Ovis aries: one gene and its partners. The protein of the gene in region 1 interacts with the protein of each later gene in a pairwise test. Links are inferred from orthologs where the notes say so. Each region holds a gene or a part of one and is shown in the gene's direction. Other genes may lie near its edges.

What was found.
Region 2: the proteins of PDLIM7 (region 1) and ZMYND11 interact in a two-hybrid assay, tested with the Homo sapiens proteins (2 studies listed by BioGRID). The link is inferred for Ovis aries from reciprocal best matches to the Homo sapiens genes PDLIM7 and ZMYND11.
Region 3: the proteins of PDLIM7 (region 1) and WWP2 interact in binary tests that used the Homo sapiens proteins (3 or more experiments, as listed by UniProt). The link is inferred for Ovis aries from reciprocal best matches to the Homo sapiens genes PDLIM7 and WWP2.
Region 4: the proteins of PDLIM7 (region 1) and GEM interact in binary tests that used the Homo sapiens proteins (3 or more experiments, as listed by UniProt). The two-hybrid records come from large-scale screens. The link is inferred for Ovis aries from reciprocal best matches to the Homo sapiens genes PDLIM7 and GEM.
Region 5: the proteins of PDLIM7 (region 1) and PAK5 interact in a two-hybrid assay, tested with the Homo sapiens proteins (2 studies listed by BioGRID and IntAct). The two-hybrid records come from large-scale screens. The link is inferred for Ovis aries from reciprocal best matches to the Homo sapiens genes PDLIM7 and PAK5.
Region 6: the proteins of PDLIM7 (region 1) and ENKD1 interact in binary tests that used the Homo sapiens proteins (3 or more experiments, as listed by UniProt). The two-hybrid records come from large-scale screens. The link is inferred for Ovis aries from reciprocal best matches to the Homo sapiens genes PDLIM7 and ENKD1.
Region 7: the proteins of PDLIM7 (region 1) and PHF1 interact in binary tests that used the Homo sapiens proteins (3 or more experiments, as listed by UniProt). The two-hybrid records come from large-scale screens. The link is inferred for Ovis aries from reciprocal best matches to the Homo sapiens genes PDLIM7 and PHF1.

What each region holds. Positions count from the first base shown.
Region 1 is NC_056058.1:36,698,413-36,702,699, reverse strand, and holds the start of PDLIM7 (PDZ and LIM domain protein 7), read left to right. Parts: upstream 1-1,385; 5' UTR 1,386-1,459; intron 1,460-2,410; 5' UTR 2,411-2,420; coding exon 2,421-2,516; intron 2,517-4,287. UniProt on the Homo sapiens protein: May function as a scaffold on which the coordinated assembly of proteins can occur. May play a role as an adapter that, via its PDZ domain, localizes LIM-binding proteins to actin filaments of both skeletal muscle and nonmuscle tissues.
Region 2 is NC_056066.1:46,464,759-46,468,614, reverse strand, and holds part of ZMYND11 (zinc finger MYND domain-containing protein 11), read left to right. Parts: intron 1-1,905; exon of another isoform or gene 1,906-1,950; coding exon of another isoform or gene 1,951-2,001; intron 2,002-2,464; coding exon 2,465-2,626; intron 2,627-3,856. UniProt on the Homo sapiens protein: Chromatin reader that specifically recognizes and binds histone H3.3 trimethylated at 'Lys-36' (H3.3K36me3) and regulates RNA polymerase II elongation. Does not bind other histone H3 subtypes (H3.1 or H3.2).
Region 3 is NC_056067.1:36,516,008-36,519,863, forward strand, and holds part of WWP2 (NEDD4-like E3 ubiquitin-protein ligase WWP2), read left to right. Parts: intron 1-1,467; coding exon 1,468-1,627; intron 1,628-2,857; coding exon 2,858-2,991; intron 2,992-3,218; coding exon 3,219-3,359; intron 3,360-3,856. UniProt on the Homo sapiens protein: E3 ubiquitin-protein ligase which accepts ubiquitin from an E2 ubiquitin-conjugating enzyme in the form of a thioester and then directly transfers the ubiquitin to targeted substrates.
Region 4 is NC_056062.1:82,966,101-82,970,549, forward strand, and holds the start of GEM (GTP-binding protein GEM), read left to right. Parts: upstream 1-1,365; 5' UTR 1,366-2,582; coding exon 2,583-2,618; intron 2,619-2,872; coding exon 2,873-3,212; intron 3,213-4,449. UniProt on the Homo sapiens protein: Could be a regulatory protein, possibly participating in receptor-mediated signal transduction at the plasma membrane. Has guanine nucleotide-binding activity but undetectable intrinsic GTPase activity.
Region 5 is NC_056066.1:2,811,687-2,816,155, reverse strand, and holds the start of PAK5 (serine/threonine-protein kinase PAK 5), read left to right. Parts: upstream 1-1,505; 5' UTR 1,506-1,623; intron 1,624-4,469.
Region 6 is NC_056067.1:34,775,384-34,779,985, reverse strand, and holds the start of ENKD1 (enkurin domain-containing protein 1), read left to right. Parts: upstream 1-1,653; 5' UTR 1,654-1,713; exon of another isoform or gene 1,714-1,758; intron 1,759-1,939; 5' UTR 1,940-1,954; coding exon 1,955-2,039; intron 2,040-2,124; coding exon 2,125-2,325; intron 2,326-2,866; coding exon 2,867-3,039; intron 3,040-4,061; coding exon 4,062-4,187; intron 4,188-4,275; coding exon 4,276-4,439; intron 4,440-4,539; coding exon 4,540-4,602. Other genes in the region: C14H16orf86 (uncharacterized protein C16orf86 homolog), read right to left, coding at 1-220, 322-569, 909-1,135, 1,329-1,433. UniProt on the Homo sapiens protein: Microtubule-binding protein which regulates microtubule organization and stability. Promotes the stability of astral microtubules and facilitates the proper orientation of the mitotic spindle.
Region 7 is NC_056073.1:7,745,565-7,749,162, forward strand, and holds the end of PHF1 (PHD finger protein 1), read left to right. Parts: coding exon 1-76; intron 77-240; coding exon 241-336; intron 337-518; coding exon 519-587; intron 588-742; coding exon 743-866; intron 867-971; coding exon 972-1,039; intron 1,040-1,193; coding exon 1,194-1,596; intron 1,597-1,678; coding exon 1,679-1,773; intron 1,774-2,042; coding exon 2,043-2,123; intron 2,124-2,272; coding exon 2,273-2,561; 3' UTR 2,562-2,906; downstream 2,907-3,598. Other genes in the region: protein CutA, read right to left, coding at 3,108-3,234, 3,351-3,454, 3,528-3,573. UniProt on the Homo sapiens protein: Polycomb group (PcG) that specifically binds histone H3 trimethylated at 'Lys-36' (H3K36me3) and recruits the PRC2 complex. Involved in DNA damage response and is recruited at double-strand breaks (DSBs).

The sequences.
Region 1 (4,287 bases):
CATGTTGGAAAGCAAATGAGGAGCTGCAAAAGGAGGTGGAGAAGGAGAATTCAGTAGGGCAGGAGGAAAGATGGTGGAGAAGAAGCAGTCAGTGGGACAGGATGAAGCCACGGGGAAGAGGGAGTATACCCTGACCAGAGCTGTTTCTAGGTAAGGAAAGAGGAAAGCTGAGAAATCACCATTGATTGAATAACCTGGAAATCATTAGAGACCTTTTGAAGAGGGAATTAATTCAGAGGACTGGTGGGGACAAGAGCTTGACTGAATGAGTTCAGGAGAGAATGGGAGGAAAAACGGGGAGGAAGGGTAATAGACAACTCCAAGGAATTTTACCCTCAGGGAAAATAGAAGAATAAGAGAGAGATTGCTGAAAAGTGTTGTGAGATCAAGAGAAAATTTATTTAAAGATGAGAACTCTTACATCAGTTTATGTAGTGAAGGGACTGATGCAGAAGAGGATGAAATATGATAATAGTGGAGAGGGGAGAACAGCATTGGCCATCCCCTGAGGCGTGGACATCTGTTCACTCACTCGCAAACCTGGATCCCTGCTCACTTTCCCCCGCTGCCTGAGCTAGCCGCCTGGGCTGAGCACTGGGTCAAACTGGGGACTCTGACACCCTCAATGGAGGCGCTGCCGGTTCTGGAGCGGGTAGCAGGACATACCTCATCAAGACAGTCAGCACTTAGGTGGGGTGGCTGGGCTGCTGGCCGCTGACTGCGAGGGGTCGGTGGTAGGAACAGGTCAGGAATGAGTAACGATTGGGGCCAGAGCCAAGGGTCCCTACACCTGTGTCGACTGTCATTTTCTGCCTTCGGTGGAATGTTCTGCAAACAACTTCATGCTCCCCCGTGTCCTCCTCAACTAAGCCCACCTCGAGGTCCCCCCCACCACCACCAACTCTCCACCAAATCCGTCCTATTTAGAAATTCTGGAGCCTCCGATGGCTGTACCTTACGGCGAACTGTGCCTGTCTTCACGACGGCCCTGTGAAGCGAGTAGTATTGTCCCATTTTTCTGAGTTGGAAACTAAGGTTCACAGACGACTCAGATCCAGATCTGTCTGGTTCCCAAGTAGACTTTCTTTTCACTCAGCCAGCTGGAGGCGCAAAGGGCCAGGAAAGCGGAGGGTTAGGCTCCCAGACTAGGTGTCCAGCAGCCGAGACCCCGCCCAGACTCCGTCCAGGCCCCGCCCCACCGACGGGACCAAGGAGGGCTGTGTCTTAGAGCCCAAAGCTAGATGGGACCTGATGATTGGGTGGGGCGGAAGGATTGGGTAGGGCTTCCCACTGCCCGGGCGACCGCGACTTTTGGAGGGGGCGGGGCATCTGGCTCCGCCCCCCTACGCGGGCTCAAAGCGGATGGCAGCCGCGGGGGCGGGGTCAGAACTCGGGCGGCGGATCCCAGCGCGGCTCTTTGGAGCCCGCCGCGGAGCAGCGCCCCGGTGGGGCCCAGGAGGTACTTGGGACAGCGCGGGGCATCTCGGGCCGGACCAGGCGGGGGGCAGAGGCCTAATGGGGACCACAGAGGGGGCTGGGGGTCGTAGCCAGCTCTGCAGTTCCTCCGATGGGCCGTCGCCCCTACCCCCGCCCCCGCCTTCCTGCGGCGAAGCCGGCTGCGGCGGGGCTGATTGGCGCCTGCGCCGCTTCCTGCGCCTGGGACTCGGCCAGTGCTTGGGGCCCAGGCGGAGGCCCAGGGGGAAACTGAGTCACGTTGGGATGGTAGCAGTCCTGTGTGGGAGGCACCACCCTCACTGGGCTGCAGGATAAATCTTTTTCCTGACCGTGCTTTGGAGTCCCAGCCCCCACCGTTCCCTCCAGGGGCCTCGCCCCCGCCCAGAACCCAGCGCTCCCAGGGGTCCTGCCCTGGCTCTCAGTAGCTTCGACTGGGCTTGGAATGGCTAGGATTCGCTCCAGCCGCCTCCCTCCGCACCCCTCCCCCTCGCGGCCCAAGCCCCCGTGTTCTCTCCGAACAGTGTCAGTTTACACGCCTTATATAGTCCGAGCAGGCTCCAGCCGAGGCCTGCCTGTGGGGACCTGGGGGCGGGGGAGAGGAGTGCCGGCCCTGGACTGGCATTGCTGTCCAGACCAAGGCTCAAGACTGGCTGGGAAGGAAGTCATGCCAAAGTAGTCCTGCTGTCCACTCCTGGGTGAGAGGAACCTTATGAGTGGATGCGGGCTCCCTTCACCCCCCGCCCCAGTCCTTTGGGGAAGGGGGGTTGCCCCTGTCTTTCCAAAGTGAGTCTGCCAGCTAGCAGCCCAGCGCGACCTAACAGGGTGCCCGCCTACCCTCCCCCTGGGTGTGCTCAGCGTCTGCCAGTGCTTGCCTGGCGCTAGTCCAAGGCTGGTGTCCAGAGTAGGGCCTGCCTGTGCACCCACTGTGCATCACTCACTTTTTCTCTCCTCTCAGGAGCAGCACTATGGATTCCTTCAAGGTGGTGCTGGAGGGGCCAGCACCTTGGGGCTTCCGGCTGCAGGGGGGCAAGGACTTCAATGTACCCCTCTCCATCTCCCGGGTGAGCCTAGGTTGAGGGAAGGGTTCCTCTGGGGGTCTCTGGGTGCTCAGATCTCCAGTGGGCGGCAGGAGGAGTCTGAGCAGGAATGAGCCGACGTCACAGACCAGGAGGTGTCCAGGTCCAGAGCTGTGGGCATCTGCCACAAGGACTCCCAACTCGGTAGATACTGGGAAGGGAGCAGCCCTCAGACTTCCACAGCTCTACACTGCACCTTCTAGGCTCAGGAGTGTGCCCATTCTTCAGGAGGTGAACCTGCGGTCTCCAAGAAGTATCTATAAACTGCTTGAGGAGCAATGTTTGGTGCTAGGCCCCTGGGAGGGCACTCTGACTGCAGGAGCTCACTTCATCCTCATTGCCACCTAAGGAATAGCAACTACCACCCTGTTTATTCAGATGAGATAACTCAAGACTCATTGAAGGAACTCTTTCATCAGTTCCATGGCAAAGCAGGCATGGGGCTTCAAACACAGGGATGGCCTGCAGTTTTTGTGGGTGGATAAGGTGCTTCTGCTTCTCCCCAGCCCAGGTGAGGACTTTTATCCCATTCACTGGTTCCATTCAGGATGCAGTGGTGTTTGGGTATCTAGGGCTCTGACTTCAACTCCTGAGAGCCTGTCCTGGTGGGGGTGGAGCTGGAGGCTGGCTCCTCCCTGTGGCAGGGGGATTGCCTTATAAGCCCAAGAATGCAGCCCCATGCTGGGATAGTCAACTGGTGGCTGGAGTCTGCAGAACTAAAGAAGGCTGGCCTAGGCCTGGAACCCTGAACCCCATCAGTGGGCCCCTCAGCCGATCATCAGGCTGTGGCTACAACTGTGGGATCAGTTGTGGGACTCGGAGAACAAAGTGCCTGCCCTGAGAGGGTGAGGCCAGCCCTTGGGTTGGTGTCTCTTGACTGTAGTCTGGGGGTCAGGAGTGGGCGGGGATTTCTGTCCCCATATCCCCTTGACCAGAGAGGCACACCCAGGCTCCTGGTGGGCAGCTGTTGGCATGAAGCCCAGGGCAGGCTTAGCCTGGAGGGGTCTAGAGATCCCAGCTTGAGGGGGCCCCAAGGTAGAGTCTGTTGTAGTTGGGCTTGGTGGCCAGGACCTGCAAGCAGTCACTGTTCCAAGGGACCCTTCCACGGGGTTTCCTGGAAGCTGCTCTGCCAGCAAGGTAGCTAAGGGCACTGATCTCCCTACTACTTACACCCAGCCCATACATAATACTCAAGCCTTGCCATCTCTGGGAACTCATCCTATACTCCACTTCCTGAGAAAGTGCTGGTCAGTGTGGCTGGGAGCTTGGCTGACCTCTGAGCCTCAGTTTATTCATTGGTGGGGATGGGCAACAAAGCAGCCTAAGGGATGGACTTTCAGATGTGGCCTGTTGGGGGCACTCTGAGCTTGGGCTCTGTTGTCAGCAGCCCCAGCATGTGGGTGGGGCCACTGGCTGAGCCCAGCCCTGGAGTTGGACCTAGGCCCTGGTGGGTGGGAGTGAGGGTGGTCTTTTCGGAGCTGGGCTGGGCCCCCTCCCTCTCTCCTGACCCTAGCATGGAGGAGGAGAGGGAGGGGCTAGGGCTGGCTGGAGGCCCAGGCCTGGGAGATGAGGTAACGTCTGGGACTTGGGGGTTGGGCTGCTCAGTGGAGCCCTCAGGCTGACTCACCCCCTACTCCGTGTGGTGTCCAGCCCCCTGGCTTTTCCTCTCCTTGGTCCCTTGGGCCTCCTTGCTTTTCTCTCCAGACACATGCTGCCCCCCATCCCCAGGTCTCTTCTGCTTCTGTCTCCACCTCTG
Region 2 (3,856 bases), on another chromosome or scaffold:
TTCAGATATTATGTTGATCAGGCTGAATGTTGAATAGTTACTGACTTCTGGTGAAATTCAGTGAAAATGCAAGCTTAGTGTTTTGGCATACACTATTGAATATTAGTCAAAATCACTACATAAATGAATTATGTTTACTGCAAGACAAACCATATGCAACTCTTACCTATAATAAACATATCATTTATACCTCAGAAAAATGTTTCCTGGATTCAGAGTGTAGACACTTTTGACCTTGACTTTGCATGTTCTGTATATTTAAACAGCTATTGCAGTGATTGAAAGAGTAAACAACGCATTCATTCCCAGCTCATGCTCTCTTTTATATCAGAAACAAAGTTAGTTGATGCCATTATACAGACGTTTATCCAAATGTTTCTCTACTTCATTTGAACTATAATTTCGCTTTTATAATTTTTATGAAAAACTAGGTCAAGAATTAAACACCCCATTGAAGAAAGATCCGTTTTCATCCTTGTTTCTTGGGTGGATGGGATAAGGTAGGGTTAGGCGAAGGTAGGAGGTGACAGGAGGAGGCCAGAGTGGTCCACCAGCATTGTGTTCTCTGACTTCCTCTTCTTAGTTAACCTAGTAATTGCCATGTTGAGAATCACATGGAGATGAATTGATGTGTAAAAAAAAATCTCAAATGATGAAGAATGGCGGTTTCTTTTGTTAATGAGTATATATAAGCCACCAAAATCCTTTTAAGATGTCTCTGAACAGTTACAAGGAAAATATTCTGAAATATTTGGTTTTAAATTTGGGGAGAGTAAATTTTAAAAAGCCATCTTATCTCCATTGGAACCTAAATTATCAATGATTTTTGGTGCAAACATTGAAATAGCTAAAACACAGCTTCCTTATGAGCTGCGTGAAAGAGATACACCAAAGATTGTTACACCAAAGATTGTTACTTTAGTACAGCTGAGCATCACAGTATACTGTGGCACCGCTATGTCAGACTTTGTTGGGGAGCTTTTTTCTACCATGCACAGATGAGGCTTTTATGTCAAATCAGTACTTTATGGTCTTTTAAACAGTCTGACTGGAATTATTCCTCCCTTACTGAGTGAGCAGAGTCTACACATCTGCCGCAAACAACTGAAAATGGTTGTACTTTTTTTCTTTATTACTTTGGTTGCTACAGATTGCCAATTTCTTACTAAAAAGCAAGCAAAAGAGTTTACATTTCTGCAGAACTTACTAATATACTTTAGCTGTGTCTCTGAATGTAGATTGGAAGGTGTGAAGTTTCAGAACATGAGCTGCTCATGTTCCATTTTGAAGGAGAGAGACGTAGCCTTCTCATATGGTTGAGCACCACTGCATTTGAACCCTCGGTGCCAGAGTCAGTGCTGACTGAACAAGTGCTCTATCATAGCCATTTATTGCAGGAGTTATTGACCTAAGAGGGGATAAGAATGCTGTTCACTCTCAGAAGCAGAGTGTAGACAGTGATTTATAAAAAGAAAAATGGTGCCAGAGCCCAAGTTTAGAATTTCAAGATCCTCATTGGAAATGGCCTTGATAATACTAACTGTGGGTTTAACCCTTATTCATTCAACTACCACATCTGCAAGAGAAGGTTGAGAATTAATCCATCACTCTTAATGGGGGTGTTTTTTGATATATGCTAAGAGTGATATTTATGAAGAATGAATTCCAAATTAAGGGAAGTTACACTGGTCTCCTGTTTGTGTTTAAATGGTACTGGCTGTACAGAAAAAAAAGTGTAACAAAGAAAATGTTGAACACCTGTTATGGTCTTTTATTTCCAGGAATAGTCCCAATAAGAAAATAAGCCAGCTTCCTTTTTTTTTTTTTTTGGTGGTAATGTCCTTTGGAGAATGTGATTAAACCTTTAGTTTTCACATTTTCAATTTATTTTTCCAAATTCAACAGACCCTGAAAATTTGACAACCTATCAGAACATGGACATTCTGATTAATGATTATTTTCAATAAAGCATCCAATACCATGGATGAGAAGATAAGAATAGTGAGCATCACCATTTATTACTATTCTCTCCGTTTCCAAAGTATGCTAAGTACTTAGTATATTTCTTTAAAGAAAATCAGGACAAAACAGAGGTTTGTTTATTTGAAATACTAAGTTATAGATGTTGCTTTGGGGTATTCCATTTACTGAAGAAATTATCCCATAGATTCTATAAAAACTGAAAGATAATGTTAGAAGTTGTATTGGCTTTGGGCTTACTTCATTTTGGACTGGTTTTGTTATCAGATCACCTTAAGATATTTCTGAAAATAAATATGTTTAGGAGAGAATTGAAAATTGAAAGAAGCAAATTTCTAGGTATTTTTCCCTCTTGTTTTAACACAGTAAATGTTTAAAATTGTTTATAATGCCTAACTTCTGATGGACTTTAGTTTCAATTTTGTTCTTAGTCATTGCAGATATTGACAAAATGTCATACGAAATTATTTTGTATTTTTTGTAGGACTGGGAAACAGAAAATCATGACTGGTATTGTTTTGAATGCCATTTGCCTGGAGAGGTGTTGATATGTGACCTGTGTTTTCGTGTGTATCATTCCAAGTGTTTGTCTGATGAGTACAGGCTTAGAGACAGCAGTAGTCACTGGCAGTGCCCAGTTTGCAGGGTGAGTACCTATGAGCTTTAATGTGCTGGTCAGAGGGTTGGAATTCATTGATAATAGCTGCACAAAGATATCCCAGGTGGTCTTGCCAGGTTAATGGATAAAGTACTGGAGGGTGGGGGTTATCTACTGAAATGATGGTTAATGAACATAGAACACTCATAAATGAATATCGCAGAACACATACTCAGGGTATGGATTTTAGAAAGTTTGAATCATGTAAAAATATACTCTCTTCTTTTTACAATTCCCTCTGAATTGTGTGACTCCTTTAATGGACAGGCTTTGGGAATCAAGAACCACTGTCCCATACCAAGGTCTGTTCAGTCAGTCCTCTTGGCTGCTCAGAAAACACAGGTAGCAAAAGGCACATTGTCAGAAAAGTTCTGTATCTACTTTCCATTTTATATCCATGTAATGTTGCCTTTATTTTTTTGTCATGTCATGGGTTTATTTCTTTTCTTTGGAGGGTGGAGGGATGGGACAGTTGTATATCAAGAATTCTCCAAAGTGAAATAGTCTGGTAGGTAAAATAGGTACTTCCCACGATTATTTTCATTCATATTATTTCCCTGTTGAAAAGTGTACATGATTGTGCTTGTTGGCTGCCGATGTGGTGTGTGTGTGTATGTGTGAGTAATCGCGATGCCTAGGTACCACGTGATGTATGGCCTTGATGGTGATCAGTCAGGAATTATTTGATTGGAACTTGTATTGTTTTGTACTTAACTATTGTTAATATACTCGGAATCATGCAAATTGCCGAGATTACTCATGGGTTCTGTTTGTGAACATGTTTTATAGTACTTGTATAACTTAAATATTCATTTCTTCTTCAAAAAAGTTATGTGTTTATCTCCTCTTTGATGCCAGCCAAAGATCATCTGGTTCATTTGCCAGCATGATGAGCAAACTGCAATGTCCCTTCTAGTCGTCTTTTAGTGACTGTGGCTTTGTGTTACCTGAGTATGTTTCTTAGCAGCCCTACTGTACTTGTTTAGTAGGCAGACAGAAGACTGTTGGTATAGCATTTTAAATACATGTGTTATGATGACATGTAATCAGATGCCTAAACGCTAGATAATTAGTGATAAACCTTTAGGTCTGAACAGATCAGTATCAAGCCTCAGGGTGTGGGCCTTCTCTAGAGGCCTGCAAGAATTTGAAGGCTACAGTAAATCAGTATGGAGCTGTACCAGTGTCCCACAATTTACTCTCATGGATTTGTGTTTT
Region 3 (3,856 bases), on another chromosome or scaffold:
GTTGGGGGTCTTGGTGTAGATCTGGCATATATACATTGTGTCCCAATCCAGAGGGTCTTGATAAATACTTGGCTGCATGTCATGTACACAGTGACGGTAAAATGAAAACAAATGGTATACTCCTAAAAAGAACTCAAAGCATTGTCTTGCCCTCACCCCAGTGCTGCTACAAAAGTTAATAGATTCTCTGGCAAAATGTTGCCTTGGATGATGGGGCATAAGGGCCCCGGCAGAGAGGAGGAGCGTCTTGGCTGTGGTGACCGCTCAGCCTGCCGACCTCTCTTGGTGTGGGACATCTTCTCGCTTGGTGTTGGGTTAACTTGCTCCCGGTCCTTTGTGTGCTGGTGGCGTTGCCCTCTGTGTTGGCCCCCGTGGGTCGATTGCTCTTTTTTTTCCGTGGTGACCGTGGTGACCTCCTCTCTAGGCTCTCCTTGGTGGTGTGGCTCCCGCCCCGTGTGTGTCTGTCTCTCTGTGTCCTGCCAGTGGTTTTACCCTATGGTAGGTTACGTCATGCTGTTCTACCACAGGGTAGAACCACGGACAGGATACCGGGGCACCCTCTGCATCGAAGAGATTCCTCGTCTGCCCGGCCACAAACAGCCCAGCAGCCAGGGACTGCCCCCCTTGGGACGTCCCCCTGCTTGTGTAGCTCAAGCCTCAAAGGACTCTGAATTCTGGCTTGAAGCTTGTACCTGGGGTGCAAAGAGATGCTAAGGTGTGGGCGTTGGTTCAGATGAGTTCGTGGACATACAGGGAAGGGTATGGTGGTGGGTCTGGGGTGAAGGGGTGGTGGGGTGGTGGGAGCGAGGTGTAGACACAGCCTGATGAACAGAATTGTCCCGCATCAAGGATTAGGAGCACATTACTGTGTATTCGTATTAGACTGCTTAGGTAGGCTGGAAGCAGGGTGACTGCTGCTCATAGAGCCCTTTTGCAAGATTTAGAAAAAAAGTGTCCTTTCTCAAGACACTTCTGTGCTGGAAAATGGTCACAATATACTGCTTTTATTAGGAAAAAAAAGGCAGCTTGATGCTATTTGCAGGAAATTTGTTGTGACAAATGTACACATCTGTCATATTTTAACGTCACACCCTTGTGCAGTGTGCAGTCTATACAACTGTGCATGGCAACCCAGAATGGCGGAGCCCCTTTGCCATTAGATGCTCTGGATATCAGGCGGAAAGCCCCAGAATACCACACCTGGAGCCAACACTCACACACACGGGTGTGCCTGAGCATTGCTGTCCAGGGCAGTTGCTGTTCTGATTCACCCTAGGTCTGGCCCTGCCCTGTTCACTGACCAGCTGCTCACAGAGGTTAGCCCAGGGCTGATCCCAGTGGGGCTGCCTCCTCAGGATGCATGTCTCCAGACTAGGTACTACTTGACGGCAGAAAAGACTCGGACCTGCAGAGCAGGTGAGCAGGGTGTGGTCCATTAGTCCTGTTTTCCTCTCTCTTCTCTCACAGAGAGTGGTTTTTCCTCCTGTCCCATGAGGTGCTCAACCCCATGTACTGTTTATTTGAATATGCCGGGAAGAACAACTACTGCCTGCAGATCAACCCTGCCTCCTCCATCAACCCTGACCACCTCACCTACTTCCGCTTTATCGGCCGATTCATCGCCATGGTAAGATTCATGGCTGTCGTCAGACCTCCAGGGAGTGTGGTCACAGACCTGTAGACCACCAGCAGCTCTGGAGACTGGGTGCCCACTCTCTGAGCCCCACCCTCATCCTTACAGAACGCCTCACTAAAGATGCAGAAAGCTAGTGAGAGTTCTGGAAATAGTCCAGAGCTCTCTCAGTGCCCACCCTAGGGCACTGAGGAGGTTTTCACGTTGATTTGTGTAGGACTTGTCAAGAGAAAGCCCAGGGTCCCCGGATTAAAGTCTTCACTTAACACTCAGTGCATGTGCTGTCAAGGGTGGGGGATGACGGGCCCGTCTCTGGGTGTTGCCATGAGCTGGGTGGCGGTGTCTGGGAGTGTCCCACTGAGACTTGGGCCTTCTGGAAGGGGATGGGGAATCTACACTAGCTGAGAACAGGGAGCAAGGTGATCGACTGGTGCAAGATGTTGGAGTCATCTGGCAGGAGGGAAGGGCAAGGAATGGGGAGTCGGGCGTTTGTATTTATGTAGAAACGGGAGCACAGTGTAAATTTGGAAAGGGCGTCACCTCGTGTGCATCCTGTTGAGTACCTCGTGAGCACTGAGACCCAGGATGGAGAAAGGGGAGCCCTTTGAAGGCCCGGTCCCTCTGCCACATTTGGTCGTTGAAGAGCTTTCACGGCTAATTTGCCTTTGCTTCTTCCCCTCACTTCCTGAGTGAGTGTCTGCCCTGCTCCCCTCTCAGGAGGACCCAGGAGCCCATGACTAAGTATATTCCTTCTCTTTGTCTGGAGGTTCTTGGCCAAGGTGCTAGGGCTCAGGAAGTGGGCACATTCTTCCCAGGTCTAGAGACCCGCCTGGCCCTGTGGCTGACAGGACAGACCAGTAAAACCCTAGACTATTACTCACTGCTGGCCCGCCAGCAGCAGCAGGGGTGTCTGCATTATTTTTGGCTGCCTCTGCTGCCCAGCTCGGAGCAGCAGTGAGTCAGGGCCGCCACCTGGGGCTGTGCTGAGCGAGTCTCCTCTGTGTGGGTGGAGGTAGACCTCTGCTAGAGCGAGGGGCTGGTGGGCATGCAGTGGGTCAGAGGTGGGTCCTTGTGGTCTGCAGGTGGGACCAAGAGGGCTGCAGACCTAGCCTTCAGGCTCCTGGGAGAGCTGGATGCTCAGGACCTCAGGGAGCAGTAGTTGGGCTCTGATATGGGGCATCTGAGGAAAACCAGACCTCTCTGCCATGTCTCTTCTGTCCCCAGGCTCTGTACCATGGAAAGTTCATTGATACAGGCTTCACACTTCCTTTCTACAAGCGGATGCTAAACAAGAGACCAACCCTGAAAGACCTGGAATCCATTGACCCCGAATTCTACAACTCTATTGTCTGGATCAAGTGGGTCCCCTCTGTTGCCGTTTGCTGGGAGAGGAGGGGTCTCTGGATGGGTAGTAGGCGGGTGGAGATGCCCAGCTTCTAGGTCCCCCTGTCCTGGGACGCTGTTCTGGGCTCCAGGCCACCTGTGAGTCCTCGTGTCCCACCGGCACTGAAAGTGAGTGACGGGGCAGGACGGAGGGAACCCTTCTAAGACAGACACCTTCCCTCTTGGTCTCTTGTGCTCCCAGAGAGAACAACCTGGAGGAGTGCGGCCTAGAGCTGTACTTCATCCAGGACATGGAGATCCTGGGCAAGGTGACGACCCACGAGCTGAAGGAAGGGGGCGAGAGCATCCGAGTGACAGAGGAGAACAAGGAAGAGTACATCATGTGAGTGGAAAGCGCTAGGGAGCCGGTGGGGCCTGGGAAGTGGGGGCAGAGACACAGCCGGCCGCAGAGAAAGAGGCTCACACCCTTATCCCAGGGCACCATCTTCAGCTAGGCCCCCTCGTGTGGCCCATGGGTCTCCAGGGATGGGAAGAACCTTCCGTTTTGCACTGACCCTAGACCACTGCCGTGGCAGTCATGTGCTGGCCAGAGCTGGGTAGCCAGAGCCCGAGGCCCTGTGTTCCAGCCCCCGGGTGCTCCTTGTTCCCAAGTTGCAGATTCATGACTGCAGGACAGAATTTCTTTGAAGAGGCATAAAAGTTCGACAACTCCTTCTTTGTTCTCCTAACTGAAAGGGCACCTGTGTTCTGTCTACTTAAACCCACTGTCACCTGTGGGATTGTACACGAACATGCCTGTTCACTTCAGGTCCCTTGGGCCAGTCTTTTAACCCCCGTTCATCTGAGCTTCAGTGAGCGGTGATGGGAGGAGCAGGAGGA
Region 4 (4,449 bases), on another chromosome or scaffold:
CTGGCATGTCTCAGCAGCTGGTCACTTGGATAATCCCCAGAGCATGAAAATGCTGCAGAGTAACAGAGAACAGACTCTGTTCACAGCAGGGTCCAGCCACTTGAATAGATGCTGGTGCCTCTGGCTGTTTTCCGGGGCCACCAGCCCATCCAGAGATGCAGCTGGCTGGAAAAGCAGATGGGTGTGTTGGAAAGGCCAGTGTCACCTCCAAACACAGTGTCTGGGAAATGCCCGTGGCCTGCCAAAGAGGTCACTGAATCCCTCCAGCTGGGGGCACAGTGCAAAGAGCCAGGCAAGCGGAGCTTCAAGTCCTGATGCTGCCACATACATGAGCTGCGTGACCTTGGGCAAGCTCTCTGACTTTGGGGGTCATTTTCCTCCTCCATATAATGGGAGCAGCAGTATCTTCACCTTGCAGAATTGTAGTAAAGTTTGAGATACTGCAGAGGTCTAACAGTACCTACTAAATATAGGAACTCAGAGACACTCAGTAAATGATAGAAGTGACTGTTTCTGTTATCTTGTGCCCTTTTTTCACAGGCATCATTCTTGGGACTGGAACCCAGGCTAAGGCTCCTCGCATGGCCAGAGGCCCTGGCCCCACGGCCAGGACCGGCCATGCCAGGGAGCCTGGTACAGGAGATGCTACTAGTCGGGATGCTGATTAAATTCCCTGATCCAGGAGCCTCAGCGTCCTGGTCCAGGGCAGGAGGGCTAGCCACATTGAGCACAGTCTGCTTGGATCCCTACTTAAGCTATTTTTTCAAGACCTTTTCAAGGTCTTGCCCCCTTGCCCCACCTTCCTCTGGCCCCTTTTCTCTGGGTCCCGGTCAGAGAAGGGAGACAAGCAGTGTGGGTATCCCCTCCTTCCCTCATTCACCGGGAAGGCGACAGGAGCGGGCAGAGGCCGTTTTCCTTGCAGAAGATGCGGCTGACACAAGCCCCGAACACTTCCATGGGGCTGTAGCCCCCTGTTTTGTTTTGTTTTTGTTTTTTCTTTTGGCGAAACTGGGTTTCCAATCCCAACCTGCCTCTTCCTCCATCCTTCATCCGGACAGCTCGCGAACTGTTTTGCTGGAAAGTGCAATTAAGGGGCACTTCGTGTTTTGTCTGCCCCCTTCCAGCGTCCGCCTGGTCAAAAGAACAAACCAGAATAAAGGAAGCCGGGATTCAACTGTCGTTATTTTTTTTTAAAAGGGGAGAGAGGCGGGGGTCACATGACGGCGAGTCACCGATTTGGCGAAGGGGCTGCCCCTCGGGGCTTGCTGCAGAGCCGCCCGGCCCCCAAACCCCGGGCGGGGGCGCTGACGTCACGGCAGAGCCCGGGCCGCGCGCGTATAAACCGCGGGGCGCGGGCGCGGGCGCACCCGGCGCAGTCACCCCGCGATCGGCCGCCCGCATCGCGGCGCGCGTCCGCTCTCAGCCGCACCCCCGGTAAGGCGAGCAGCCCGCGGCGGGGAGCGGGGTCCTCCGGAGAGGCGCGGGGGGCAGGACTGGGGGAAGGGGTGGGCGTCCGCAGCCCGCGGAGAACTTTCCAAGTGGGGAAAAGAACCTTCCGGACCTGCTGTCCGGCGCGGTGGTCTTTCGATCGGGGGTCGGGGGGGTGAGGGGTGTTGCAGAGTTTAAGGGGCGAAGGATGCCATTCGGCGGTGGCGGGTTGCTTTCGTGCAGTTCAGTTGGAGGGTCATCTCCTCCTCCAGACTGTGGTCGGAGGACAGCCGTCAGGGATACTTCAGGCACTGGTTGTTTGAAGAGTCGGCCTACCGGAGGCGCTGCTTGTAAGATTAAAAAAAAACAAACCTACAAACCGATCGGTCATCAGGGTCATCGAGGTGAGGGTCGCGGCTAGGGTCATCGACGTGTTGGGGTTCTGGGGAGTGCGTGCGGGAAGGGGAGGGTCTCTCGCTCACCGGTGCATCTTGCTGCTGAAAATGAGATTGCTTCTGCTTTCTGTCTGAGAGTCTGGGAGTCCAGACCACCGGGCAAGGGGAGGCAGTCTTGAGAAAGGCCAAGCTGTAGCCACGTTGTTGAATGTCTTTCTGGAGGGAGTCTTGGACCTGATTGGCTTCAGGAAGGTGGAAATCCGAGCTGATGGAAAGGAACTCTTGGAGTGGACAGAGTTTAAAAAGAGTGAAGCACTGTCTCTGCAAGTTTGACAGCTCTGAACGTGAGCAGGTCCTCTCCCTGCCAGAAGGACAAGGCAGAGGGATGGGTTAAATGTGATATCTGTGGGCAGGGGGCAGAAGTGAGGCATATACCTATTGCAGAAATTCTTCTCCCCCTCAAATAAGAGCATATTCAGGCATCAGGGCAACTTTACTAAACATGGAAGTTCCAATCAGCCCTGGTCCAATCCAGCCGGGGGGGATGATGTCATTGTCACGTGTTCCCCACTGAGGCATAAAAGCCTGCTGGGTGCTGCTGCTACTTAAGTGCCATGTTTAGACATCAGCGGCTAACCTGGCCAGCTGGTCCCCAGCTGCATTAACTTGTTGCTTTTCAAGCCTTCTCTAGAGGCTCTTCGTGCCTTCTGGCTGCCTCTGTGCCCGCTCTGAGTGGGGAATCCCCAGGCTTCCTTGAGGATGGAGGAAGCCCCAGGGCAGTGGGCGATATTAACGGTACCTTTTCCTCTTTGCAAATGACAGTCTCCCTGAGGAGCTGCTGTGTGTGTGTGTGTGTGTGTGTGTGTGTGTGTGTGTGTGTGTGTGTGTGTTCAGTTGAAAGCCTGTTGGGTTTGGGGACTGCTTCACTGGTGTTCCTTGTGTGAGGGTTACTTGGTAACCTCACATACTAAAATATCACTGATGACTGTGTTCGAGCTCCCTGAACTCATGCTTCCTGATGCTACCATCTTGGCTGCTTTGCCTTCCAGGACCTGACGATGACTCTGAACCATGTCACCATGCGCCAGGGCACGGCGGGCGTGCAGCCGCAGCAGCAGCGCTGGAGCATCCCTGCCGATGGCAGGCATCTCATGGTCCAGAAGGAGCCCCCGCAGTACGGCCAGCGCAGCCGTCCCCCCACCGCCCCCGAGGACCCCTGCCGCCGGAGCTGGTCCTCCGACTCCACGGACTCAGTCATCTCCTCCGAGTCCGGGAACACCTACTACCGGGTGGTTCTCATCGGGGAGCAGGGGGTGGGCAAGTCCACTCTGGCCAACATCTTTGCGGGTGTCCATGACAGCATGGACAGCGACTGCGAAGTGCTTGGAGGTAGGTGGCCCGGCTCCGGAGGGCTTTACGGGACAGCAGTGGTCCAGCAGGAAGAGTGAGTGGGTGGGTCATTTGTCTGCAGAGTTGGGAAGTGCGATTATGCCTTCTTGGCTCTGCCTGGGGAGCCGAGTCCCCACAGACGTGCTGGCATAGGCCTCTGGGACAAGAAAGTGAAAATGCTTATAGATAGAAGCTGGGCCAGAGAAGGAATTTCTTACATTCCAGCTCTAAAGGGACCAGGGAGACGGTTTACGGAGGGTGGAGCCGGAGGGTCAGGATCCCACCTCTGGCTTTTGCCAGTTCTGACCTGGACCTTTCAAGCACTCAGTGTAGAGACAGCCTTTTTCCATGGTGATACTTAAAACCAAGCCAATTAGAAAACTGTTAAGATGAATTCATTAGTTTGTTCATTGCAGTATTAGAGGCTTTAGAGGGTATAAAATTGTTTAAAATCTCTATTTTCAATAGCACAATATTTAAAAAAGATATTGAAAGTTAGCAATGATGATACTTAACGTTTGTAAGTATACTTACGGTTTTTCAATTTTCCATGGATAATCTCATTTAAGGTATTTATTATTTAGGCCTTGGTTTCCAAAACTGATCTGAGATGATACAGTCTCAAAAAAATCACATATTCCTCAAGTAAAGCATAGCACTGTATTCTGGGAAGTAAAATGAGGCTCCTGTAGTCGATGGTTTAAATTCAGTGTCTTTCAGCCACAGGATCTTAGACAATGCCAGGGTCACTGTATGTCCCTGTTTGCAGTTGTGGAAATGAAGTAAGTGTGCTTGTCCCAGTGACATGGTCTGTCTGAACGCTCAGTTGCAACTCACTGCTGAATCACAGATTTCAGGAGTAGGAAGATGCTTTAGTGATGACACAGTTCTGCCCTCTGCTTGATGCACAGAAATCCTACTCCTTCCTCACTGCTGTCAGCCCATTTCTACTAAACATCTATTCTTCCTTTGTCTGGGAGTTCATTGCTTCATGAGGCAGCTCCGGAACCTGCTTTAAATGATGACTCATTGATAGAACATTGATTTTTCTCCTCACTCCTGACGTCTCAGGGATGATAGCTAAATCCTAGTTCAAGGGAGAAGCAGGCTCAGTATCTCTTTTTTTGGTAAAGACCCATGGGTGTGTGTCCCTATAGGAGACAGGCAGGAGGCTATCATCTAGTATGTGCCTTTGCAGTGGGACAGATACTTTATTGGGTGCCTTATATTTGTGACT
Region 5 (4,469 bases), on another chromosome or scaffold:
ACAGCAAATATTTTTTAAATTTGCTTTTAATTAGAGGATAATTGCTTTACAATATTGTGTTGGTTTCTGCCATACAACAACATGAATCAGCTATAGGTACACACTTGGCCCCTCCTGCTTGAAGGGGCACCTCCACCTCCCACCCCATCCCACTCCCTAGGCTGTCACAGAGCTCGTGACTGAGCTCCTTTATTACAGCAACTTCCCACTAGCTATCCAGTCTACATGTGGCAATATATATGTTTCAGTGCTACTTTCTCAGTTTGTCCCACCCTCTCTTCCCTACTCTGTCCACAGGCACTGAATATTTTTGACAATGCTGGAGCCTTCAGGGATTGGGAAGGGAGTGGGCAACCCAGGGATTTAAGATGAACTACAAGATATCTTTGCAAGCTTCAACCCAAACATCACTCATCTGAAAGCCCTGTCATCTTAGGTAAACACCCTATTCTTACCATGGTCTGTCAGTCTACTTAACTGGCAAGCCCAGCCTTACCATTCGATGCCCAATAAATTAACATTTTGATGCCCAGTCTAAGTTTTTGTCCCAGATCAGGAAAGGTTGGGAACAGCCAAGGCAGGTCAGGTGGTTCAGACTTGAGTAGAGGCTCAACTGGCAACGAGTGTGCTATCCAACTAGCAAAGAGAGCATGACAAGGTCCAGCTTTCCCTAAGGCTCAAATTCTAAGTCAGAAAGTAGCCCGTTTGTGTGGGTGCTCAGAGTTCAGTGCTACTGAGATTCCTTCCAGGGTTGGGCACAACATCCCGAGGGTATCTTCACCTGTTAGACGCCAAGCCGTCTGTAGGTCGAGCGGCTTCTGTGGGAGCCAGAGAATGTTTCTAGGCTGGCTGCTTGCAGGAGGGCCACCTAAAGGTCACAGGAGAGGGATTCTCTAGATCTCGGCTGCTCGACGTGGTCAGAGGAACAGCGACATCAGCATCCCCTGGGGGCTTGTTCAGCTTGTAGATCTCAGACCCCAGTCCAGAGCAAGCGACTCCGAATCTGCATTTTAATCCCTAGGCACCTTGAAGTTGAAGCAGCAAGGTTCCAGGTGGTAGCACCAAGACTAGCGGAAGGACCTTTCTCTCGGCCCCGCCCTCTCGCCCTTTGCTCTCCCCTTAAGCTCTGCACAAAATTTCTGCACAGTGTGTATGAGGAGGGGGCGTGCAGGAGCTGCCCGTGGAAGGCAGAGGGAAAGTGGGATCAGATCAGCGAGAAGGGCTTTCTCCAGTTCAGATCCCACGGCGTGAGACACTCCCCCCCCCGCCCCGCGCAACCTCTCCACCCCCGCCCCCCGCCCCCCGCAGCTGCTACTGCCAGCCTCCCTCCGGCAGCCACGAAAACCCGGAGCAGCTGCGCGCGCTCCTGCAAAGTCCTCCCAGGGCGAAGCCGGGCAGCTGGGCATGCTCAGTAGCTGGGGGAGGCCTGGGTGGAGAGTGGGAAGCTGTGGCTCAGCCTCCGGCCCCTCCCGCCGGCCCCCGCCCCCTTTGCCCCTACCCAGCCCGTAGTAGTTGCCCGGCGTGCGCCCGGGGAGACCGGGAACATGGCGCTCCGAGCGATGTAGCTGCGGAGGAGGAGAAGGGGACGCGTCTCTGCCGCCGTGCTGACAGCCAAGCCACCAGGTAGGCAGGCGCGCCCGGCAGGGCTGCCCGGGTGGGTACGGGCGCCGGGAGGGGCGCTTGCGGGGATGCGCACGGCGGGACCTCGGCACCTGGCTTTGCCGGGAGAGGATGCGAAGCGGACATCTGTGACAGCGCGCGATTGTGCATCTGTTAGGAGATGCCAAAGGCTGGGGACCGACTGGCTGAAGGGGATGGATTCGGGAACCGCCCCCCGCCCCCCACGCCCATGCACTGCCATCCAGCCTGGGCTCTCTGCGGGTCAAATAAAGGGTAGTTCTTTTCTGCTGAGCAGGAGGGCATGGGGGAGATACCAGAATACCAGTCCTGGGAATGCGCTGGTCCCCCGGACCGCGGGCAAACCCAGCACCGGCTCTTTGTGTATACAGCCCCGCACGCCGGGGGTGCCGCGGTGCCTGCTTCTCTGAGGAGTGTTGGACATATTGCCAGGGAAGGATTCCCGTTTGGTTTTTGTCTCTTGACAGGTGTAGATTGGAGAATGCAATAGCTCAGGCTTTATGGGACTGTTTTCCTTTGTTACTTGCCTTGGTGTGTGCGTGTGTGTGTGTGTGTGTGTGTGCGTGTGTGTGTGTGTGCGCGCGCGCTCGCGTGGTGGGTTGTAATGGAGAGAACTTCTGCTCGTGGGCACGGGTGTGGACAGAGCGTGGAAGAGAATCTCGGTTCCAAACTCTCGTCAAAATTGCCTGCGATGTTAACCTCCTGGAGGATAAACTTGAAAAGTCCAGAGATTATCAGTGCCCAGGTTGAAGGAGAAGCATATTGGCCATTCTTGAACCTATGTGTGCATATCGGGAGCTTTAAACCTGGGACGCAGGGTAATTCCACATTAAATGTCAATTAAGGGAATTTGAAGCATTGGGATGTTATCTATAGTGGTCTTCTTCTTCTTCTTCTTCTTTTTTTTTAAAGGCCAAATTAATAAAGAAAAAGAAAAGTTGGCACAAAGCCAGAAGACAGTGTCGTCGTTAATAGTTAATGACAGCTTTAGAAGGATAAATATACTTTTGGGGAAATCAGGAAACCAGGTGTTCCAGAGGGTTCCACCAAAAAATAGATATAGGGTCTTAGGTAACTCTCAAAACCTCTCAGAGCATCCTTTTCCTTTCTAGGGTTTGGTGGCAGGTCTTACTTGAGTCCAGATGAACCACACCACTTTTTAGAAGTCCCCCCTACACTAGAATTCTATGAAATTGAAACTGCATAATAACAGCTTTGCACCTTACATTTGTATGTCTGATTTATTCAGACCTACAACTCACTGAGTTAAGGAGGAAAGGTAAATTTAGAATGTGCTTTTATTTTTTGATTTGTAAAGGACAGACATCTGTGACTATGAAGTTTAGACACACTTCCCTCCGTGCTTACAGTACTTATTTTTATCGTCTCTTTAGGTGGCAAGAATGAGTCAGTATCATCAAAATGAAATGGGAGAAACTTGAGAAAAATGCATTTAATTAAATTAAAACCATAAGTGTCCAATCTGGTGATAATGCCTTGACTTCGAATTCATATGTGCAAAGCAGAAGCACTGCTGATGGGAGCAGTAGAAAGTGAACCTCACTGATAGCACTGGGTTATATGGTGCTTCTCTGTGAATGGGGAAAGTTGAATTGTACTAGATCCCTAAATTTGTTAACAAATGTGTGAGAGAACTGCAGACATTGAAAACACTTTGTGCCTCTCCTCTGTCATTTTGCTAAAATGTTGCAGGTGTGAGAGGCAAGTGTTCTGGGATCTCATCTTGGTGGTGAGACAGTTGGGTTTGAGCTCTGACTCTTCCCTATTTAGCTTTGTGATCTTGAGCAAGCTATTTAACTTTCCCAAGCCTCACTTTCCTCAGCTGTAAAATAAGCCTAGAGGTAAGACTTAACCTAAATTGGGTAGAGGTATGGTTTACTTATAAAACACAACCAGTGGTGGTGATCATTATCAGAGGAAGGAAAACGGATGTTTATTCAACATATACTCTATGCCCTGTATTAAGCTAAATAAGTTCAAATGTCTGATCTCATTGAATCTTCCCGACTAGAGCCTGTCAGTCACAAAGAGTCAGACGCAACTTGGTGACTGAACAACAAACAGATGGCTTAAAATGGCAGAAATGTATTCTTTCACAGTTCTGGAGATTAGAAATTCAAAATCAAGGTTTACTCAAAGCCATTCTTTCTTGGAAGCCTCAAGAGGAGGATCTTTTCTGGCTTCTCCCAGTTTCAGGTAGACCCAGGTATTCCTTGTTTGGGGACAGCATAACTAATTTCTGCCTTCATCTTCACACTGTGAAGTTCCCCCATTTATAAATATGGAGACCATTCATATCGGATTTAGGACCCATCCTAATTCAGTGAGACCTCAACTTAACTTGACGTCTGAAAAGATCCTGTTTTGTAATCAGGGCACATTTTTAGGTTCTGGTTGGGCATGAATTTGGAGGGAACTCTATTCAGCCTTGTATAACCTATGATAGGTATTTAAGGACAGTATTAGTATTATGTCACTATCAGTAGGATGTAAAGATAAAATAGTATGGATTTTGAAAACACTTTAAAGGTTATTTAATCCGGGCAATATATTTGAATTTTTATATACCCAAACATGATAGAGAAAAACAGTATTCAGAGGTACCTCATTTATACAAATGTCACTTGTCTAGAAACCAAGGTAATCTAGGGTTTCAATCTTAAACAGGTAACATAGCTGATATACCCTGGCCTAGATGGATTAGTTAATGTTTGCCTTCCTCCCTTTTTGCTTCCCCACCAACACAATGCAAACAGAGAGTAGAAAACCATACTAAACAACAAAAATAACAGTCACAAAAATTCACCAAT
Region 6 (4,602 bases), on another chromosome or scaffold:
AACATACTGGGGCAGGGCAGAGTGAGGTCGGAGCCCAGCTCACCTGCCACTGGCAGCAATGCCTGCAGTTGCTCCACACCCGCCTCCTCGGGGACCACTGTCAGCTCTGACTCAGGCTCCACCTCAGCCTCAGCCTCCCTGTCCCCCTCCCCTGCCTGGTTCAGTTCAGGGTTGCAATAGTTGATGTACTGGTACAGGGGCCGCAGGCGCTGGGCCTTTCCTACAAGAACCCAGGGCAGGGCAATGACTGGAGTGCCAAGCTGGGCTGTGTTGGGTCCAGCTGGCTGGGACAAAAGGGAAGGCTCAGGAAATGCCACTCACGCTCAGGCCCCAAGGTCACTGAGGGTGCCGACACCGTGCTGGCCACCACTGGGAGCACTGGGGTTCCCAGACTCTTGCGCTTCTTGGTCTTTTTGTGCTGTTTGGCAGATGGTGAGGGCTCATTCTGATTATTCTCCGGCTCTTCCCTCTGCAGCGACAGCCCCTGTGGCAACTCACTCTCTGCCCTAGGATGGGCTTGGTGGCTCGGGCCTGTGAGGCTGGGGAACAAGGAGGCCTGAGGAGCCAGCCTGCAGCCTTGGCTCCTGTGCCCTGTCCTAGGGAACAGTCCTGCCTGCCTACCTCCCCAGGCCGTGATCCTTGTCCTTTTCCTGGTCAGTGAGGCCCTGGACTGGACAGGGACCCAGAGATCATGGGAGTTCAGTCCCCTACCAGGCCTTGAGACTTTTGCTCTGCATGTTCCCTACATCAGGGCTCTGGAGGGTCAGCAGAGGTGAGGAATGATGGTGGTGTCAGGGGATAAGGATGGACACTACTGTAAGGCCCCATTTAAGAATCCAACTGGGGTATGAGCCACCCCCACACCACCTCCCCAGTTCCCAGTCTCTTCCCTCTGAAAGCCCCCTCACTTGACCGGCTTCCTCTTCGGACCATGACTGGGCCTCACAGTGGAGGCCGTAGGCCTGGGACCTCTCTCCTCCAGGGCCTCCACCTCTGGTTTGTGCCTGTCTTCCTCCAGCTTGAGTCTCTCCTGGATCTTTGGCTCTGAGGTGGATCTTATTGGACATTTATCTTCATCCTGGGTTTGGCAGGCCTCATGGGCTGGCACCAGGCCCTGGTCTCCCATCACTGGACACTAGCGGTGACACACAGGTAACTGGTCACCATGGCCAGGTAAAGGATACAGGGACCAGCCATTAGACTCTAAATACTCTGGATGAAGGGCACCAGCCCATGCCCCTCCCAGCCTGTGGAACCTGGCCTGGCAGTTTTGGTCTATTAAAGCGCTATGACCCAAGTGTTTGAAGGTTAGACAGCCCGATGGTCACCTCAGAATTCTGAGCATGGCCACCAGGCATCTCTGTAAGCTGTGACTGCCCCACGGCTGCCCCTTCTTGGGCCCCTGGCCGCTTCTCAGCCCCTGCGGAGTCCATAGCTGCGGCGGATCAGCACTTCCTCGACGGTTGCTTGAGGGGCATTGGGGATGGAGGGCGGATCCTGAGGGGCCAGACTAGTAGACCCTGAGCGGACCCGGGAGAGGACCGGATTGGGAAGGGCAACTGACAGTCGTTCTGCTCCCCCCTCAGCTGGAACTACAGGCCCCAGAAGGCTTTGCGCCAAGGCCATTGGCCCCTGACCTCACGGACGGAAACCATTGTTGCCTGGCAACAGCAAACCCGTCGGGTGGCGGCAGTGGGCGGCAAAACCGCTCTGGTGAGCCCCTTGCCCGAGTGAGAAGCCTGCCAACGGTACTGAGAGGTGGGCTGAGAGCAGAGGTGGCGAGCGCAGGCCGGGGCCGGGAGGCGGGGTGGGGGCCGGGAACGCAGGCAGGGCACGGCTGAGGTTAGGACCCGGGGCCAGGGAGGAGGCACTGGGCTGAGAAGCCGGGTTTGGAGCCAGAGACGCGTAGCCCGGCAGGCCTCAGGTGCAACGTTTGCAGGACGGCGGCGGCGGTATGTGTGAGGGTCCGTCCCGCATCTCGGGGCCCATCCCCCCAGACCCTACGCTCTGTCCGGACTACTACCGGAGGCCGTCTTCGGGTGAGTTAGGGAGTGAAAGCGGCCTGGCAAGGGTCGGGCCCAGCTCCACCACTGACTCCGCACTCTGCCCCGTCTGGCCTCTCAGCCCAAGGGCGCCTTGAGGGAAACGCGCCGAAGTTGGACCTGCTGACGACGGATACGGACCCGGACCTAGACGCCACCCCTCCCCGCGCCCCTCGCATCCGTCCGGGAGGCCTAGAAATCCTGGAGCGTGGCCGTCGCGGCGTGGGTGGTGTGCTGCTGCAGCTCGGGGGTATCTCCCTAGGCCCAGGGGCCTCTCCCAAGAGTAAGTTCTGGTCAGAACGGACAGCGAGGCGGCTCTGAAGTCAAAACAGATAAAAAGACGGCTGCTTCCCCTTCCCTGCTCTGGGCTCAGGCTTTACCTCTCAGAGTGTCTGTTTCCCCAACTGTAGAAGGAGCGGGAAATGCACGACTTCTTCGCAGGAGAGGACTAAATGAGGCATACCCCGGAAAAGCCCGTAGCTCAGCTTCATGGATTTATGCATGGTTGGTTGTTGAGTGTCTGCTGTGCTCCAGGCCCTATGGGTGCTAGGAGAACAAGGTCGAAGAAGCGCATCATTGAATCAAGGTGGGAGACAGTAAAACAAGTGAAGAGGTGAATAGGATATGCAAGGTGATTACTAGTATACTTCATAATCAAATATGTATAAAATCATCAGAAACAGAAGATAATTATGGTGTGAGGACGAGAACAAGGTTATGTGGTGGACTTTAGAGTATGTCAGGGAGGCAGGGTGTGGGCTTGTGTGTCCACTGGGGTAAGTTGGATTGTATGGGCTGTATGTAGGGCAACATCTTTTCTCCAGGGAAGGACCCTAAAGACCATGAGAAGGAGAACATGAGGCGGATCAGGGAAATCCAGAGGCGCTTCCGTGAGCAGGAGCACAGCCAGGAGCAGGCCCAATCCAGGCCCCTGAAGGCCCTGTGGCGCTCACCCAAGTATGACAAAGTGGAGTCGCGTGTCAAGGCTCAGCTGCAGGTACCTGCCTCAGGGAGCCCCAAGTGTTGCCCGTCTTGTTGGCCAACAGGACATTATACTCTGACTTGAGTTATGAGGAGGGAGGAAACCCACAGTGGGCTGAGGTCACAGGGGATGAAGAGCTGGTCCTGCTGCAGAGTGGGGCTGTGGCCTTTCTCTGAAGTGATGACAGCTGGGTGATTCTGAGGGGCAAGTCGGAATTAGGCAAGGGGAGAATAGAGGAGAACATTTTATAGAAATGGAACCTTGTGGTTCCAGGGTCCCTGGTCCTAACACCAGGGACTTAGGAGTGTGGGCAGTGGGGATGCTGTGTTCAGTTCACTATGAGGGAGGAAGAACATGAGGTTAGGCTAAGAAGTCAGCTGGACCCACATCATAAAGGGCCACATAAATCCATTTTTTTAAACCTTTATTTCTAAGGACAATGGGAAGGGCAGGGGTATGTATGGTGGTAAGATTCTATCTGGGGTAGCTAGTGGTGCCACTTCTCTTTCCAGGGGTCTGAGAAGGAGAAGTAGGACAGAAAAAAAGACAAGGTCATATGTGGGTGTGTTGAAGCTGAAGCTTTTGTGGGGCTTCCAGGGAGTGGGAATGTGTCCAAGAGGCAGATGGAGAATCAGGTCTGGATCTCAGAAGTGAGACCCAGGAGCTATTGAGGACGAGGCTGAGGATAGTGAAACCAGGGAAGTGACCCTGGATTTGGGGGCTTGGAGACCAGCTGTTGGTGGCCTTGGTAGGGACAGAGCCAGAAAGCTTGACTAGGAAGGAGAGAAAAAGAGAACGATGACTGAAGCCAGGACTGAGGTAGAGGGAGGGAAATATGTTTTCTGAGAGATGTGAAAAACACACAGGTTTAAATGCTGATGTGATGGAAGTACTTATTCAAGAGGAAGGAGGCCAGGTCCAGAGGACTGGTGATAGAGAAAGATCCTGAAAGACAGGAGGGACAGAGGCATGGTCTTACAGCTTGAGACCCTGACTTCAGCCTGACTGACCACCCCCCGCTCTGCCTTGGCCTCCAGGAGCCCGGCCCTGCCTCTAGAACTGAGCCAGCCCACTTTCTGCGGGCCCATTCCCGTTGCGGCCCCGGGCTCCCACCACCCCGTGTCCCCAGTCCCCAGCTAACCCTACCAGGTCCCAATGCTAAGGTGAGAGGATATGTGGGGGCTGGGAGGTGGGGCAGGGATTCCGGGGCACCACACAGTGCTGTTTCATCATGCTGGCCATGTCCCGCAGGCCCCAGGTCTGGGTGTGGACTTCATTATGCACAATGCCCGCACTGCCAAGAGGGCCCCCCGGCGGCATTCTCGCTCGCTGCAAGTCCTGGCACAGGTGCTGGAGCAGCAACGGCAAGCCCAGGAGCACTACAACGCCACGCAGAAGGGTCACGTGCCCCATTAGTAGGTCCTACTGCTCCCCCCACTCCTGGGAAGGGGCACTTATGGAGGGTGGAAGCCCACGTCTGCCTAGGGTCATCAGCCCTGGGTCTGTGCATCACAGCTTGTTGGAGCGCAGGGACCTGTGGCGGCGGGAGGCTGAGGCCCGTCAGCACAGCCAACCAGA
Region 7 (3,598 bases), on another chromosome or scaffold:
TGAAGGGGTTGGACTGGGACGCTGGACATCTGAGCAACCGCCAGCAGAGCTACTGTTACTGTGGTGGCCCTGGGGAGTGAGTAGTGAGGGGCGGGGGGCTAGGGAACAAGTGATGGGGGTGGGAACAAAGGAGAATGGCAGGGTGGTAGGAGTGCTGAAGGGGGCGGGAGAGTGGTGAGCAGGGTTTGGGGCGGTTAAGGAGGGTGTGTCTGGGGGGTCACTGGTCCCGTTTCACTTCAGGTGGAACCTGAAGATGCTGCAGTGCCGGAGCTGCCTGCAGTGGTTCCACGAGGCCTGCACCCAGTGTCTGAGCAAGCCCCTCCTGTACGGGGACAGGTGAGCCTGGGCAGACCCTCCAGGAGCTCTGCCCCCCATCCCAGACCAGGTTGTCTTCCTGAGCTCTGAAGCCTTGCCTACTGGTTAGCCCCATCCTTGCTCGGAACACCCCCACCCCCACCCCCGTGGGCAGGTGTAGTTTCCTGTAAAAGGTGTATTCTCTCCCTCTTGCCTACGTCCAGGTTCTATGAGTTTGAGTGCTGTGTGTGTCGGGGGGGCCCTGAGAAGGTCCGGAGGCTACAGCTTCGCTGGTGAGCTGGATATGGGGCACGATCTCAGCATCACTCCTCTCTCGGCACCCTCAGTTTCTCACTTTACAGGCCCCAGCCCCCTACCTGGGGGACACCCCTGCCTGCCCCTGGCTTTTGCAGTGCTTCACCACCTTGACAAGCCAGTGTTTCTCCAGGGTCGACGTGGCGCATCTTGTCCTCTACCATCTCAGTGTTTGCTGTAAGAAAAAATACTTTGATTTTGACCGTGAGATCCTCCCCTTCACCTCTGAGAATTGGGACAGTTTGCTCCTTGGAGAGGTAAGGGGTGGTGAACCTCTCGGGGTCAGGGTGGCCAGGGAGATGTGGAAAAATGGGTGAGGGAATCACTGCTCTCCTGACCCCATTTCTTATCCTCTCCCCCAGCTCTCAGAAACCCCCAAGGGAGAACGGTCTTCAAAGCTCCTCTCCGCTCTCAACAGCCACAAGGACCGGTGAGTTGGAGGGAGGCTCAGGAGGAGATGGAGACGCAGCCTGAGAGGGAGGGGCTGCAGCTCACCTGGAAGATGCCCTCTGAGAAGGACTGACAGCATAGGAGGGTCCCTTTTCTCCAGCACTGACCCTGTATCATTTCTCTCCTCATCCCAGTTTCATTTCAGGGAGGGAGATTAAGAAGAGGAAATGCTTGTTTGGTCTCCATGCTCGGATCCCTCCCCCTGTGGAGCCCCCTCCTGGAGACGGAGCCCCCACCAGGTCACTGGTCCAGGGGGGATGGGGAAGTTCTCAGGGTGTATGTATGGAAACAGGGAGGTCTTTGGGGTGTCCGGGAGGGGGCTGGGGGGATAAGGAGGCCTCTTACAGCTTCCCTTCAGGGCAGGGCCCTGGGGGAGGGGTCTCACGTCCCCTGGGGAAGCGCCGGAGGCCGGAGCCAGAGCCCCTGAGGAGGAGGCAGAAGGGGAAAATGGAGGAGCTGGGGCCACCCTCAGCAGTGCGCAACCAGCCCGAGCCCCAGGAGCAGAGGGAGCGGGCTCGTCTGCAAAGGGCACTGCAGGTACAGGGGCAGGGGCACCCGTGGGCAAATGGTGGTGTGGGAAGGAATCAAGGATGATCTCTCAGTCCTTTGCTCCTTCTAGGCCTCAGTGTCTCCACCACCCTCCAGCCCTAACCAGAGTTACCAGGGCAGCAGCGGCTACAACTTCAGGCCCACAGATGCCCGCTGCCTGCCCAGGTCAGTGCATCTCCTCCCTCCAACCAGACACACTCCCTTGGAACCTCTTCCAGTTGCCTACAATCTTCTGGATTTCCTCACCCAAACTTCTTTTCCCTCTCCCCTTTGGCTGCCCACTTCTTTACCTAGAGACTTTGAGAACCAGGGTCTGCTCCCCAGTATTCTAGGGACAGATTCCTTGAGGATAGTGTTTGCACTCTGCCCTTCCCAGAGGGAGAGGGTCCTATTCCCCGGCTTTGGGTCCTGACTTTCTTCCTTCCCAACCCCAGCAGTCCCATCCGGATGTTCGCTTCCTTCCACCCCTCTGCCAGCACCGCAGGGGCCTCTGGGGATGGTGAGCCCCCAGACAGGTGAGATTCTACTCCTTTGCCTGTGATGCCTCTGGCCTCTTCACTTCGTGGTCCCTTAAATGTTGTTGTTATTCCTCTGACCCACACGGCCTCCATTTCTGGTCAGTGTTTTATCTCCATCTGGACTGACAGTTGCTTTCTCTACCTAGGTCACCCCTGGAACTTCACATTGGTTTCCCCACAGACCTCCCTAAAAGTGCCCCCCACTCGATGACTGCCTCATCTTCCTCAGTCCCAGCCCCCTCCCCAGGTGTTCCCAGACGCTCAGCACCCCCTTCTCCCCTGTGCCGTAGTTTGTCTCCTGGGGCTGGGGGTGGAGTCCGAGGTGGGGTCGGCTACCTGTCCCGTGGGGATCCCGTCCGGGTCCTTGCTCGGAGAGTGCGGCCTGATGGCTCTGTGCAGTACCTGGTTGAGTGGGGAGGTGGGGGCATCTTCTGAACAGCCTGCCTCTGCCTAACTGCCCATTGACACACACCGGCACTTTCATACCCTGACCTCTGACCTCACCTACAGCTGGGATGTACCTGGGGCACTAGGGGGGTATGTCCCCCTACTGTCCAGGCTGGAATCCAGGTTGGGGGTTGGGGAAGAGGCTCGCTCTCCTCTACTCCCTTCACGGTTCCTGACCTTCCCCCCAACCATTCCCTCATTTCCTTTGATGTTATTTTGTTACAGCTTTTTAAATATTTTTAAAAATTATTTAACCCCTGGGGACGGAGACTGAGGAGGGGAGAAGAACAGATCCTGGGCTCTGTATCATTGAAATAAAGATAAATAAACAAACTTAGCAGCCCTGAATCATTCCAAAAAACGAGAAGAAAGGGACTAGAAGCACTTCTGATCTTCCCAACCAAATTCACTTTTTGACAAGGAGAAAGTAAAATGGAAGAGAGAACTAAAAATGGGATTTATTAAAGAGTCCAGTCATCACAAGGTAGGAGTGTTGAAATTTATGAGGAAAACCATGGCAAGAACAAAGGTTCATCACAGCGGGGCTGTGCTGGAGTCAGGAGCTGACTCTGTCACCTGGCGCACCCACTGCAGGTACGGGGGGTTCCCCTGCTCCACAGGCAATGCAATCACCTCGGCCACTTCATAAGGGTGCACAGACCTGTGGAAACGATAGGGGAGCAAAGACTTACCCAAAGGAGTCTGTCCCCTCAGACTGCCCAGGAAGGCTCACCCCACAGTTTACACCCTCACCTCTACCCACATCAAAGTTCTCACCGAACAAAATCCGTCAGAGCTGGAACCAAGGAACTTTGGGTTTTGATCATCTGAGGGGTGAAGACAAACATGGTTGAATCAGGGGGTGAACTTGATTCCAGGATCTGGGATGAGGGATAGGGGTCAAAGTAAATAGTCAGAGAATTAAGTTTTTGTCGGGTAAGAAACATTTCTCACCATCAGCACTTCACTGTCCTCTTCAATTTCTCCTTTCCACTCATAGCTGAAAAGGTAAGGAAGAGAGTGTT